Sus scrofa: one gene and its partners. The protein of the gene in region 1 interacts with the protein of each later gene in a pairwise test. Links are inferred from orthologs where the notes say so. Each region holds a gene or a part of one and is shown on either strand. Other genes may lie near its edges.

Evidence for each region. The genes of interacting proteins can lie anywhere in the genome.
Region 2: the proteins of KLHL12 (region 1) and TTBK2 interact in binary tests that used the Homo sapiens proteins (3 or more experiments, as listed by UniProt). The two-hybrid records come from large-scale screens. The link is inferred for Sus scrofa from reciprocal best matches to the Homo sapiens genes KLHL12 and TTBK2.
Region 3: the proteins of KLHL12 (region 1) and TBC1D10C interact in binary tests that used the Homo sapiens proteins (3 or more experiments, as listed by UniProt). The two-hybrid records come from large-scale screens. The link is inferred for Sus scrofa from reciprocal best matches to the Homo sapiens genes KLHL12 and TBC1D10C.

Annotation. Positions count from the first base shown.
Region 1 is NC_010452.4:24,889,482-24,892,981, forward strand, and holds part of KLHL12 (kelch-like protein 12), read right to left. Parts: intron 3,229-3,500; coding exon 3,075-3,228; intron 1,721-3,074; coding exon 1,503-1,720; intron 1-1,502. UniProt on the Homo sapiens protein: Substrate-specific adapter of a BCR (BTB-CUL3-RBX1) E3 ubiquitin ligase complex that acts as a negative regulator of Wnt signaling pathway and ER-Golgi transport.
Region 2 is NC_010443.5:128,488,519-128,492,485, reverse strand, and holds the start of TTBK2 (tau-tubulin kinase 2), read right to left. Parts: upstream 2,801-3,967; 5' UTR 2,408-2,800; intron 1-2,407.
Region 3 is NC_010444.4:5,116,028-5,120,256, forward strand, and holds the start of TBC1D10C (carabin), read right to left. Parts: upstream 2,801-4,229; 5' UTR 2,456-2,800; exon of another isoform or gene 2,202-2,455; 5' UTR 2,174-2,201; coding exon 2,022-2,173; intron 1,320-2,021; coding exon 1,220-1,319; intron 1,032-1,219; coding exon 924-1,031; intron 837-923; coding exon 730-836; intron 530-729; coding exon 415-529; intron 1-414. Other genes in the region: PPP1CA (serine/threonine-protein phosphatase PP1-alpha catalytic subunit), read left to right, coding at 4,210-4,229.

The DNA.
Region 1 (3,500 bases):
AAGAGGCTGTCATCGAGGTGAGTCCTGGCCCCACCACTTCCTAGCTGGGGTAGGTGACCAATCTCCCAGCATCAGTCTCCTCCTACGAAAAATGGAGACCGTTCTGAGAATTAAGATGAAAAATGCCAAGAATGGTACCATTAGTATGGAAACTCCAGGGCACAGGGATTTTTGACTGCTTTATCCATAACTGGATCCCCAGCATCTAGAACTGTTCTGGGCACACAGTTACATACTCAATAAACATTTGATAAGTGAACCAATGCTATTTTATGACCATGCACAATGGGCCTCACGTCTGAATGCTCATTCTACCCCTGCACCTGGCATTCTGCACAAAGACTCTCCCCCCACCCTCACCGTGAGGGTGAGAACAAAATAGAGCAAACCCTTGGCTCCACAGACTTTGCCAGAGCAGCACCTCTGGGCCTATGTGAAACCATGCATCATAGTGGAAATCATTCCTCTAGTCGGAAACGAGGGCACCAATGTGCCCCTTCAGTGTCCCTGAGAAACTTCATTAGGAAAAGGTGTCAAGAAAATGCTGATGAGAAATGTATTTGATTTGTTATTACCTGAAAATCCTGGTGTTAAAAAAATAAATCAGGAAGTAATCACTTGTTTATAGAATTGCATTACAGAATGTCTTTAAGTAGCAAACTCCTTCCATAGCACTTAGAATATTAATCAAATTTCGATTCTTTCCAAAATATTTTTTTTCTTTCTTTTTTTTCAAATTCTTTTTTTTTTTTTTTTTTTTTTTCCTGTCTTCTGAGGGCCACACCCATGGCATAAGGAGGTTCCCAGACTAGGAGCTGAATTGGAGCTGCAGCCGCTGGCCTACACCACAGCCACAGCAACGTCAGATCAGAGCCTCGTCGGTGACCTACACCACAGCTCACAACAACACTGGATACTTAACCCATGAGTGAGGCCAGCGATCAAACCCGTGTCCCCATGGCTACTAGTCAGGTTCGTTAATGCTGAGCCACAATGGGAACTCCACATCCTGTCCTTTTTGACCCACTGCCTTTTTGATCTCAATTAAGCCCAGAAGGCTTACTCTTCTTTTCCCCTACGTAGATTTCTCACTCTGAATAGGCATGAAACTGTCACTTCACTGAATTCTCTGGAATCAGGACTGCATCCTACTGCCTCTTGGACTTCCAGCTCTGGGCACAGTGGTTGCTATACAGTAGATATTCTCAATCGATGTTTGCCAATGACTGCAGGGGAAATGGAAGTGTTCTACCGAAAGCTGCTTCACTTCCCATTTCTGCTTATTCCACACTGTTTGAGAGTGCTTCTTAACCACCAGGATCATAAGTTTCATAAATATGCAAATACAGTTGGCACATAGGTTCAGGGGCATTAGTGTAACCTTGGAGCCACTACAAACCCATGACAAAAAAGCCTTGTACCAGAAGCACAGTAACTCCACCCTGTTTTCTGGTTTTAGGGCCCCATCTTGAAGAAAGCATCAGACCACGCCAGGTCTGTACCTGAATTTCATCGCACTTGATGAGCTTTTCCACCTCTCCTTGACTCAGAAGAATGAACTCTTCATGCTGCACCACTTCGGGAAAATGCTTCTGGCTAAAGACCTCAGCTGCTTGCATCAGGTCAACGCAATTGTGAGTTTCGGCAAAGTCCCTGATGCCCAGGCAGTTAGACGGGTCCAGCTGGCTTTCCAAGAACTCGCAGCAGGCTTGCTTCACGCCTAGGACAGACAGACAGCGAGCCCCTGAGGATACTTCCTGGGGTGGGCCACCCTGTAATCTGTGATCACAGCATCTCCACACGATATCAGAGGAACCCTGGTTCAACACTGAAATATCGGCCTTGAAAGTCTACGCTTAGGGAATTCAAATCCCATTTCTGTGTTATGCACTGTGTGGCCTTGGGCAAGGCCTTCTTTACACAGGTCTGCTGCAGCATTAATACAAGTGCAGCAGGATAAACTGCTACCTCGGATACTGCCATAATTAAACAAAAATGCTGACAAGACTCTTAGGAATCAAGATGTAAATCCAACTGTAATTTGTAACTGTAAATTGTAATTAGTGCACCTAACTTCTACTCCACATGAAAACTTACTAAAAGACTCTGGTCAAAGAAACAGGAGGTACTGAGAGATGACACTCCTGCATTTCTCTAGATGAAAAGTTCAGAGTATAAACTTAATTTTACAGCTGCACACTAATGCAAAAGCTTCACACTGTTTCAATCAAGTGTTAAAAACTGAAAACAACAGAAACAGAACTGGAGGTTAAGAAAGACAGACTGGGAACTGGAAGGGGGACTACTTCTAATCCTGCGAAAACTCCACACTTTCATTTTTGTGGGTCGATTTATTTATTTATTTATTTATTTATTTATTTATTTTTGGTCTTTTTAGCTATTTCTTGGGCCGCTCCCGCAGCATATGGAGGTTCCCAGGCTAGGGGTCTCATCAGAGCTGGAGCCACCGGCCTCCGCCAGAGCCACAGCAACGCGGGATCTGAGCCGCGTCTGCAACCTACACCACAGCTCACGGCAACGCCGGATCCTTAACCCACTGAGCAAGGGCAGGGACTGAACCCGAAACCTCGTGGTTCCTAGTCGGATTCATTAACCACTGCGCCACGACAGGAACTCCTTTGTGGGTCGATTTAAATTTTTAACAGAAAATTGTTGTGGTTAAAAAAATTAAAGGTATGAAGGGTTTATGTGAGTAGTAGTCCCCCAGCCTCCCTACCCCTGGCCATCTAGTTCCCGTCCAAGGAGGCAGTGAATCCTACCAGTTTCCTGTGTTTCTTGCAGGACTACTGTGTCCCTGGACGAAGAAAATGCATCTATTATCCCTTCCTCCATTTTTCTAAAAACAGAAAAGAAATCCTACTCCTAAAGTGCCAGACACTCACATTTGGAACAGTTTCTCTACACTGTGATTGAGAACTGATCTTCTGTGCCATGGACAGTAAACAGGAGGCCCCCCCGTCTGTCTCCTTAATTTTCACAAATAAGTTTACATCACAGATTTTAAACATCCCAGGCCAGCTGGGCATGAACAACTTCGACTTTAGCATCTGTACCTTTCAGCTGAAGCAGGCAGGCTGCCGGAAGCAGTTCTTGGACATTCTCCACTGTCACGTGCACAGTTTCTGTGTACACGAAGTCCAGCAGGATCTCCATGGTGGAAGCGGTTAGACCTTGGATGTCAACGTATGGTTTCCCCTTTTCTGAAAGCTGTAAGGTCAAAGGGTATGAAATCATGGTGGTTATAATTCCACACGATAAAGGCATAATCTCACAACCAAGAGCCTGAAAGGAGGTTAACAATATTAACTGAATACACATATCTTTTTTTTTTTTTTTTTTTTTTTTTGCTTTTTAGGGCCACATGCATGGCATATGGAGGTTCTCAGGCTAGGGGTTGAACTGGAATTACAGCTGCCAGCCTCCACCACAGCCACAGCAACGCCAGATCTGAGCTGCATCTGTGACCTACACCACAGCTC
Region 2 (3,967 bases), on another chromosome or scaffold:
AGACGTGGCTCGGATCCCGCGTTGCTGTGGCTCTGGCATAGGCTGGCAGCTACAGCTCCAATTGGACCCCTAGCCTGGGAACCTCCATATGCCGCGGGGGCGGCCCAAGAAATGGCAAAAAGACAAAAAAAAAACAAAAAAACAAAAAAAAAAAACCCTCAAAGAAAGGAATACATATTGAGTAATTCTGAGTGACACACACTCAAACTGTAAAGAATGCCACATATCATTAAGATAATTCTTTTACAGTAGGTTTTTTTTTTAAGTAGGGAAGGAAGCAAGCTAAGCTGTCCATTAATTCTCATAGGCTATTTTGCTAATCAATTCGGCCTTCACTAGTTCAGTAATGCTCAATAAACATTTTTCCTTGTTTTATACTTTTTTCTTTCTTTTCTTTTCTTTTCAGGCAACAAACATTTATTGTCCCATGCAGGTTTTGAGGATTAGGAATCTGAAAGTGCCTTAGTTGGGTGATTACAGCTCAAAGACTCTCACAAATTGCAATTAAGTTGTCATTTTTAATACATTACTTTTTTAAAGTTGTAAACTCAAAAAAAAAAAAAATGCCCCCCAAAGTTAAATTCCATGATCATAGCAAAGTCAGCTCTGTAATCTTTGTTCAAAATGAAAAACCAACAATCTAGCACTATCACATTTTTTGTACATTTTTTAAATGTAAAATATCCTCAAAAGCTGTCTAAATTACACAAACTTCACTTCTAACACTACATTTAGAGATAGCTGAAGCACTGCATAATGGAGTTCAATTTGCTAAAGCAAATGAGACTAATCTCATGAAGATTTCCTGAGGCATCAAAATAATAAATATTTAAAAGTCAAAAGAAGTCACAAAATTCTTGAGTCATACATAGTACAACAGAGAATTCACTAAATTATGTATTAACCATAGTACAAGATAATGAGCAAGATATATAGCATTCTTAGCCTTCTACTGAAATCAAATTTATTTCAATTTGATATTACAAATTAAATTAATGAAGCTGAGGATTTCCATTTCTTTCATGTGTCTAAAACTGAAAGAATAAAAAGTATTTCCTAACATTCTAGCTAAACTTTCCTTCATAATCATGCTTGTGCCTTGATAAAAATGTACCACATAGGAAAACATAAGCTTCTATACAGATTCCTTTCAATATGTTTTCAATTTCAAAAGATCACAATATGTAATCCAAGTCCACACACCTGTTATTTGAAAAAATTTTAGTTAAGATGAATTCTTCAAGATTAGTCATATAAGTAATATTTGTTCTCAATACTGCTTTATTTAAAAAAGAACTATACAGTGTTCAGATTTAAAATCAATCTCCCATCACCCTTTCTACCCAAATGAACGTTACTCTATTATATTTAGCCAAAAGAATATAGTAAACACATCTTTGTGGCCCATCATGACAAATCAGTGTTAGAAACCAATGCAACTGTTATTAATGGCTCAGAACCAAACACTGTAACAAAAACACACTGAGTGGATACTCCGTGTGTACATGTGCCCATTCATAATAATGCAAACCTCATACATGCATTAAAAAACTTGCTTTCTATTTAATACCAAAACATCTTTACATGAACACAAATTATAACAACATTGCCCTTTTTGATGTTCAAAGAACAATTTCTAAAGCAAGGGATGAGAAGAGTTAATGCCGGATTGCTGCCACCTACCAACTTTAATTCAAAGCAAAGTACAACTCAATGTCATTTTTACCTTCTAACGCAGCCACGACTCAAATAAAATTAAGTTCACTGTGGATAAAGTATCCTGGATTCCCAATGGATTATTTACTTCGGATGTGCAGGTAAATACGTGTGGACTCTCGTCCCTCCCACAGCATCCCGGAGTGTCAACATCATCTTAGTCAAAGCCAACGACGAGCAAATCCTTCTACCTTGCACCCTAAGTACCAGAAAGTCAGGGCCTCCATTGCCGTTACTACACAACAGATTCTACAGTCCCATGCCCTCTTCTATCGCATTTGGGGGAGCCGGATGGGAAAGAACCGCTCAGGATATGCTGAGAATCCTGGATTTAGTCCTGGTACCAGACTCAACATGAATACAAGTGGTATGTGGGTCACCCACAGAAAAAGAAATAGAACGAAGCTTTGTGACCCTCGAAGTTCAGTGAAGACACCAAAAGCTTCTGGGGATACGAGGCACAACCCTTTGGGGAAACCGAGGAGAAGCAGGCGATCTCCGAGTTGGAGTGACTAGGTCTGGCACAAACCCAGGGAGTCTGCGACCCGGGAGTCTCTGGTACCCCTTCCCTCCACACCTGGGTCGGTCATTGGGCTAGGGGTGCGGCCGCAGGAGGGGGTTAGGAGTAGGGGAGGGCAGGGTGCGGAGCTCCCCCAGCTGCGCCCAGGGGGTCCGGGGGGGTGTGTCCTACCTGGGCCGTGGCAAACGCAGCGATTCGGGCGGAGGGTTCCGGTCCAGCTCAGGGCCGGGACCCGCAGGAGTCAACCCACAGCAGGCGGGACTGCCGCCGCCTGCCCATCCCCCGCCGACGACTGCGGCGGGACCCAGCGCGGCTTCGAGGGCCGGCCGGCCGAGTAGTCCCCTCGGGTACCGTCCGCGTTTACTGGCGGCGGCGGCGGCTGCTGCAGTTACTGCTGCTGCTGGCGGCCCTCAGCCGCTGCTCTAGTTTCAGCCCCTGCTTCTCCTCTTGCCGCCACCGCCGCCGCCTGGTCCCTACCGCTCCCATCGCCGCTGCGGCGACTACTGCAGCGCCCGCTGACCCGACCCGACGTTATTCTCCCCCGTCGCAACCTAGCACAGCCTAGCCCACCTGCCCTGCCAGTGCGCACGCCCACCTCTCCGCCACAGGTGCTGATTGGAGAACGCGTCCCGAGTCCGCCACATCGGTTGGCTGGTCCCATTGCCTATCACGAAAGGGGCGGAGAGTCAGGCAAAGAACATCTCCGCCCCCACCGGAGAATTGCCGCTATCTTCAGGTTTGCCTGAGAGGGCGAGTTACCGGGAAAGGAGCATCACAATGGAAGCGCGCGTGCGCGAGGGGATTCTGGACCTCGTAGTTCCAGCCTCAACGTCAACTGCCTGCCGGCCCAGAGAGGAGAAGTGGGCTTCTGGGACTAGTTGGCTCACAGTGGGGTCTTCCTAGCTCAACAGTTATCTTGGTTATATAGTGATGGTTGTGACGCCAGGGTTGGCCTTTTCTGAAGAAAATCGAAAATGCTTTCTCACCATACGAATTTCCACAAGCTGAGCTGAGGCATTGGGTCATGAAGAAGGGCCCCAAGTCGTGAGGCCCTGCCGTGCCACCTCCTGGCATGAACCAGCGCTGCCAGGATCTGGCAAATTGGCGTCTTCCCCAGAACAACCTAACATAAAGCTAATCACCGATGAGTGCTGGGAAAAGCCTAAAACTGTAAGCAAGGAGACAGAAACCTCCGGAAAGGAATATTAGCCTGGAGCCCGGCGTATCCTTAGGGTTTCCACAACTGTAGCGAACAAGATTTCATTCCCTTTTTGAAACATCACCACTGAAGGGTTCAGTGAGCAGCCCTGGGAGGTGCAGTATATGATTCTAAGCAAGAGAATGTGGGAGTCCGTAGAAGGCTTTCCAAAAAAAAAGGGAGGGGGGCGGAGCATTGAGGCTGTGTGGGATAATTTGTATTCGGTGTTGATGTATCAAGCTGTTTGGTAAAGAGGCAACCTTACGATTAAACCCCTCTCCCATCCTTACCCACCAACTTACAGAAGAAAAAAACTCCAAGAAGTTTAACAGCTTTCCTGGATCTACAAAACTATTTAGTGGCAGAACCAAAAACGTGCGTATCTTAAACGTCCCTTGTCCTATGCTTTTTTTTACTCAATAATCACAGTGACTCCCAGGAGTCTGCCATGGACTGAAAGATTGTGATGCATTACAACCTTCATTTGACTTTAAATCTTTTTCTTCACTCAAGTGACATCATGATTAAAGCTA
Region 3 (4,229 bases), on another chromosome or scaffold:
AAGGGTCCCAAAGTTCAAGTCCTAGGATCTTGGGGTCACTGGGGTCAGGGATCCTAGACCCAGGGTTCAGAATCAGGAGTCATGAGGTCAAAGCGATGAGGTCGAGACTCCTAGATCACCGGGGCAAAGGTCAGGGGTCAGGGGTCTGTGTTCCTAGACTCAAAGTCACTGGGCTTGAAGGTCCCTGAGGTTGGCAGTCTTGAGGCCCTGGGTCGCTGGGTGTCAAGGATCCCAGGTCCCTGAGGCCAGAGTTCCATGGGTCCAGGGCAAAGGATCACTAGGTCCCTAGCATTAGAGTTTGGGGGTCAAGGGTCTCAGGTCACCGAAGTCAGAGTTCCTGGGGTTCGGGTCATGGCTCCCTGGGCTTAGGGTGTCAGGGTCTTGGGTCCCTGTGGCAGGGCTGAGGGTACTCACCTCTGGGGGCAGGTGCATGAGCAGCACCGCTGCCACGGGGCCCTGGGCCTGGCAGTAGCCCTGCTCTGGCCGATACAGGGTGTAGGCCTTCAGTACCTCCAAGAGGCCCTGCTGCCTGTGCCAGAAGAGACCCTGTCAGGGGCCGGCCCTCCGGGCATCCCTTCCCACCCTCTAGCGTCCCTTGCCCAGGCCTCGGCCCTTCAGGGGCCTTGCTGGGTCTTCTGGGCTGCAAAGACATAGAGCTGGGCTGGCGATTAGGCCAGAGTGCCTGGGGCTTTTGGGGCTGCAGGTCCCTGGGCATGAGTGGCCTCGTACCCATGACCCTGGGGTGACACAAACATCTCATGCAGAGGAAACTGGCGGTGCAGGTCCCTGCCAATGGTCTCCATCCACTGTGGGTCCCCAGGGGCTTCAGCCAGTTTCTGTGGGTGGGCGAGAAGGCAGATGTGAAGGCTCAGAGTGGCAAAGGGCCAGGGCCGGGGCGGTGGAGCCCCTGCCAATCCCCTCACCTGGTAAGTGCCAGGGTTGTTCTTCTGACACACATGGGCCCCGCACAACAGGGGCCAGCACCGGGCCCGCAGGGCTGAGGGAATGCCTTTCCGGCACTGCATCTTTATCTGCGGGTGAAGCAAGGGGCCTCATCAGGCCAGCCAGCTTCCCCTGCTCCTGTTGGCAGGCCCCAGGTACCAGCCGGTCATTGTGAAGGCCACTTTGGGGAGCAGGGAGAAAAGGCAGGCCTGCTGGGACCCAGGAGGGGTCCAGGGTGTGGGCCGAGGCCCAGGGGGATGAGCCTCCCTCCCCTCACCTTCTTGTATCGTCGAGACATGGTTTTCTCCCAGTGCGAGGTCATCTCTACCCATTTCATCTCCCGCTGGCGGATGAGGTCTGCAGGCGGGTGACCTGGCCTGCGGGCACATGGCACAGGCATCCAGGCGCTGGGCACCTGTTCCCTAGAGCCCGTATCTGCTACCCTTCTTGCTACCCAACTCCTGGCCCTGGAGATCTCTGGGAAGCCCTGGCTGGGGGTGACCAGTCACCCAGGAGTTGCCAGTGGTTGTCATGGGGACAGGGAAGGATGTGGCTCCGATGTGGGCGGAAGCAGGAGAGGCTGAAAGGGGTGTGTAGGTGTGTGTTGGGGGAGGGGCTGGTTGGCTGTCCCCCAGGATAGGGACAGAGACAACTCATAGACAGAGCCCTGGACTAGAAGCCAGCAGTCATGAGTTTGAGTCTGATTCTGTCTCTGATCTGCTGTGTGACCTTCCTATCTGTCTCTGAACTTGTCTTCCCATCTGCGTGTTGGGAATGGGGAGGCTTGGCGGAGGAAGAGGTGTGGGTTCCGATTTGGATCTGGGATTCCTGGGCCAGATGAAAAGGGGGAGAATGTTTAGCCCCAACGGTGGGTACAAAGCCTCAGAGACAGAGAGTCAAAGAGACAGTCAGGGACTGACCCCCTGCAGTCCTGCCAGCCTTAGGATTCCACCTGGCACCTGCAGAGCAGTGCCCCTCCCAGGACCCTGGAGGTTGGGCCTCACTCTAGAATTCAGCCCCCAGCGCCCACCCTCATTCCCAGCTCCCCACCACGCCCCCCTCATCCCTTCGCCACTTACCCTGGCTCTGCTGAGCTGCCCCCAATGAAGCCATAGCGGTCAGCCTGGCGATACGGGTCGGGCCCACTCAGCTCTGAGTCAGACCCCAAAGAGCTGGAGTCATCCTGCAGCTCACAAGGCTGCACCAGGTCCTCCCCCAGGGCCTGGGCCATGGTGTCACAGACCCCTGATGCCAACAGGCTGCAAGACGTGGGGAGAGCCAAGGTGAGAGGCAGCCCCTGGCCAGCCAGGTCCCCAGCCCCAGGACCTGACTGTGGTCAGAGGGGACAGACTTCAGGGTATCTCACCAAGCCTCTTCTGTCCCCTCTTCATTGTGGGATAGAGGTGGGGAGTGGGGAAGAACCAGAAGTGGCAGAAAGGCCAGGCTGCTGTGTAGAGACCCAGACCCAGCCCCCGTCCGCACCAGCCCGGCTTACCTCCCTGCCGCACCTCACCTCCTCCGCTCACTTCCTCCTCAGCCACAGCTTCAGCCACCCGCTTCGGGCCCCTCCCAAGAGTGGGGGGGGGTTACCCCTTCCTCTCTCAGGCGCTTCCGGCCTGCCCTAGCGGCCCTGGGCTCCTCCCACCACCCTGGTGGGCTGGGTGGATACAGGTTTGTGTCGTGGGCTGGGTGTGATGGAGCCAGGGCCTGTCAGAGGTAGAGAGGCCAGGCTGCCTCCAGATTTGAGGTTACTGGCATGTAAAACCCTCAATTCAAGGTTCCAATGAGAATTACGTTTTTTTGTTTGTTTGTTTGTTTTAATTTTTTTGTCTTTTTAGGGCCGCACCCTCGGCATATGGAGGTTCCCAGGCTAGGAGTCTAATCGGAGCTCTAGCCCCCAGCCTACGCCATAGCCACAGCAACGCCAGATCTGAGCTGTGTCTGTGACCAACACCACCGCTCACGGCAGCGCCGGATCCTTAACCCACTGAGCAAAGCCAGGGATCAAACCCGCAACCTCATGATTCCTAGTTGGATTCATTTCCGCTGCGCCACAATGGGAACTCTGAGAATTACGGTTTATTGAATGTTTGCTCTTCACGAAATAACATTTTTCACATGCGCACAATGTAGCTTAATTATGCTACTCAAAAGGCAATGATAAAACATAAAAAAAAAAAAAAAAAAACAGGGAGTTCCCCATCGTGGTACAGTGGAAACGAATCGGACTAGGAACCATGGAGTTTCAGGTTTGATCCCTGGCCTCGCTCAGTGGGTTAAGGATCTGGTGTTGCTATGGCTGTGGTGTAGGCTGGCAGCTGTAGCTCTGATTGGACTCCTGGCCTGGGAACCTCCATATGCCGTGGGTGTGGTCCTAAAAAGGACAAAAAGACAATAAATAAATAAATACATAGATAGGAGTTCTTTCTGTGGTGCAGCGGATTAGTGGTATGGCTTGTCTCTGTAGAGGCGCTGGTTCAGCATTGCTGCATCTGTGGCATAGGTCGCAGCTCCAGCCTGGATTCAGTCCCTGGCCCAGGAACTTCCACGTGCAGCTGAGAAAGAAAAAAAAAATTAACCGCTAATTCAGCTTGCATCACAGGCACTGTGGACCAAAATGGGCTTGGAGTTTAGTGACAGGTTTCTAGGTCTGGTCAGTCACCTGGGGGCCACAGAGACTCCGGAGGTAGAGGCCCTTGAATTAGGTCCAGGTCTTGGACCAACCCTTTGCTATCTCTGTGCACTTCAAGGACTTGATCGGCAGTATTTGGGGAGACCCAATGAGTTACCGATGAGCTCACACCAACTTCCCGCCCAGGGCGGAGGTGAGAAGGACTGCGTAGCCCTTAAAAGAGAAAAACAACTTCCACAGCACTTCCTGTCCCATATTCTCTGGAAAGGGGTGGCCAACTTCTCATAGGCAGAACTAGACTCGACCTCGCCCCTCGAAGCCCCGCCCACCAAGAGGCTCCGCCCCAGAGATGGGCGTTCCGTCCGAGTCCCGCCCCGTGACTGAGGCCCCGCCCCCCGGGCCGCTTGGGCCTCTGCGCCCGGCGTCCGGCGGAGGCGCTAGAGCGCTGGGGCAGCGGACGGGGCGGGGCGGGGCGGGGCGACGAGGGGCGGAGCGGGCGGCCGAGGAGGCGGGGCGGCGGGCCGGGGCGGGCCGGGCCGGGCCGGGCGGAAGGAGAGCCAGGCCGGAAGGAGGCAGCGGGAGGGTGGGAGGCAGGAGCGGGCCCGGAGCTGCTGGGCCAGAGCGGCGGCGCCGCCATGTCCGACAGCGAGAAGCT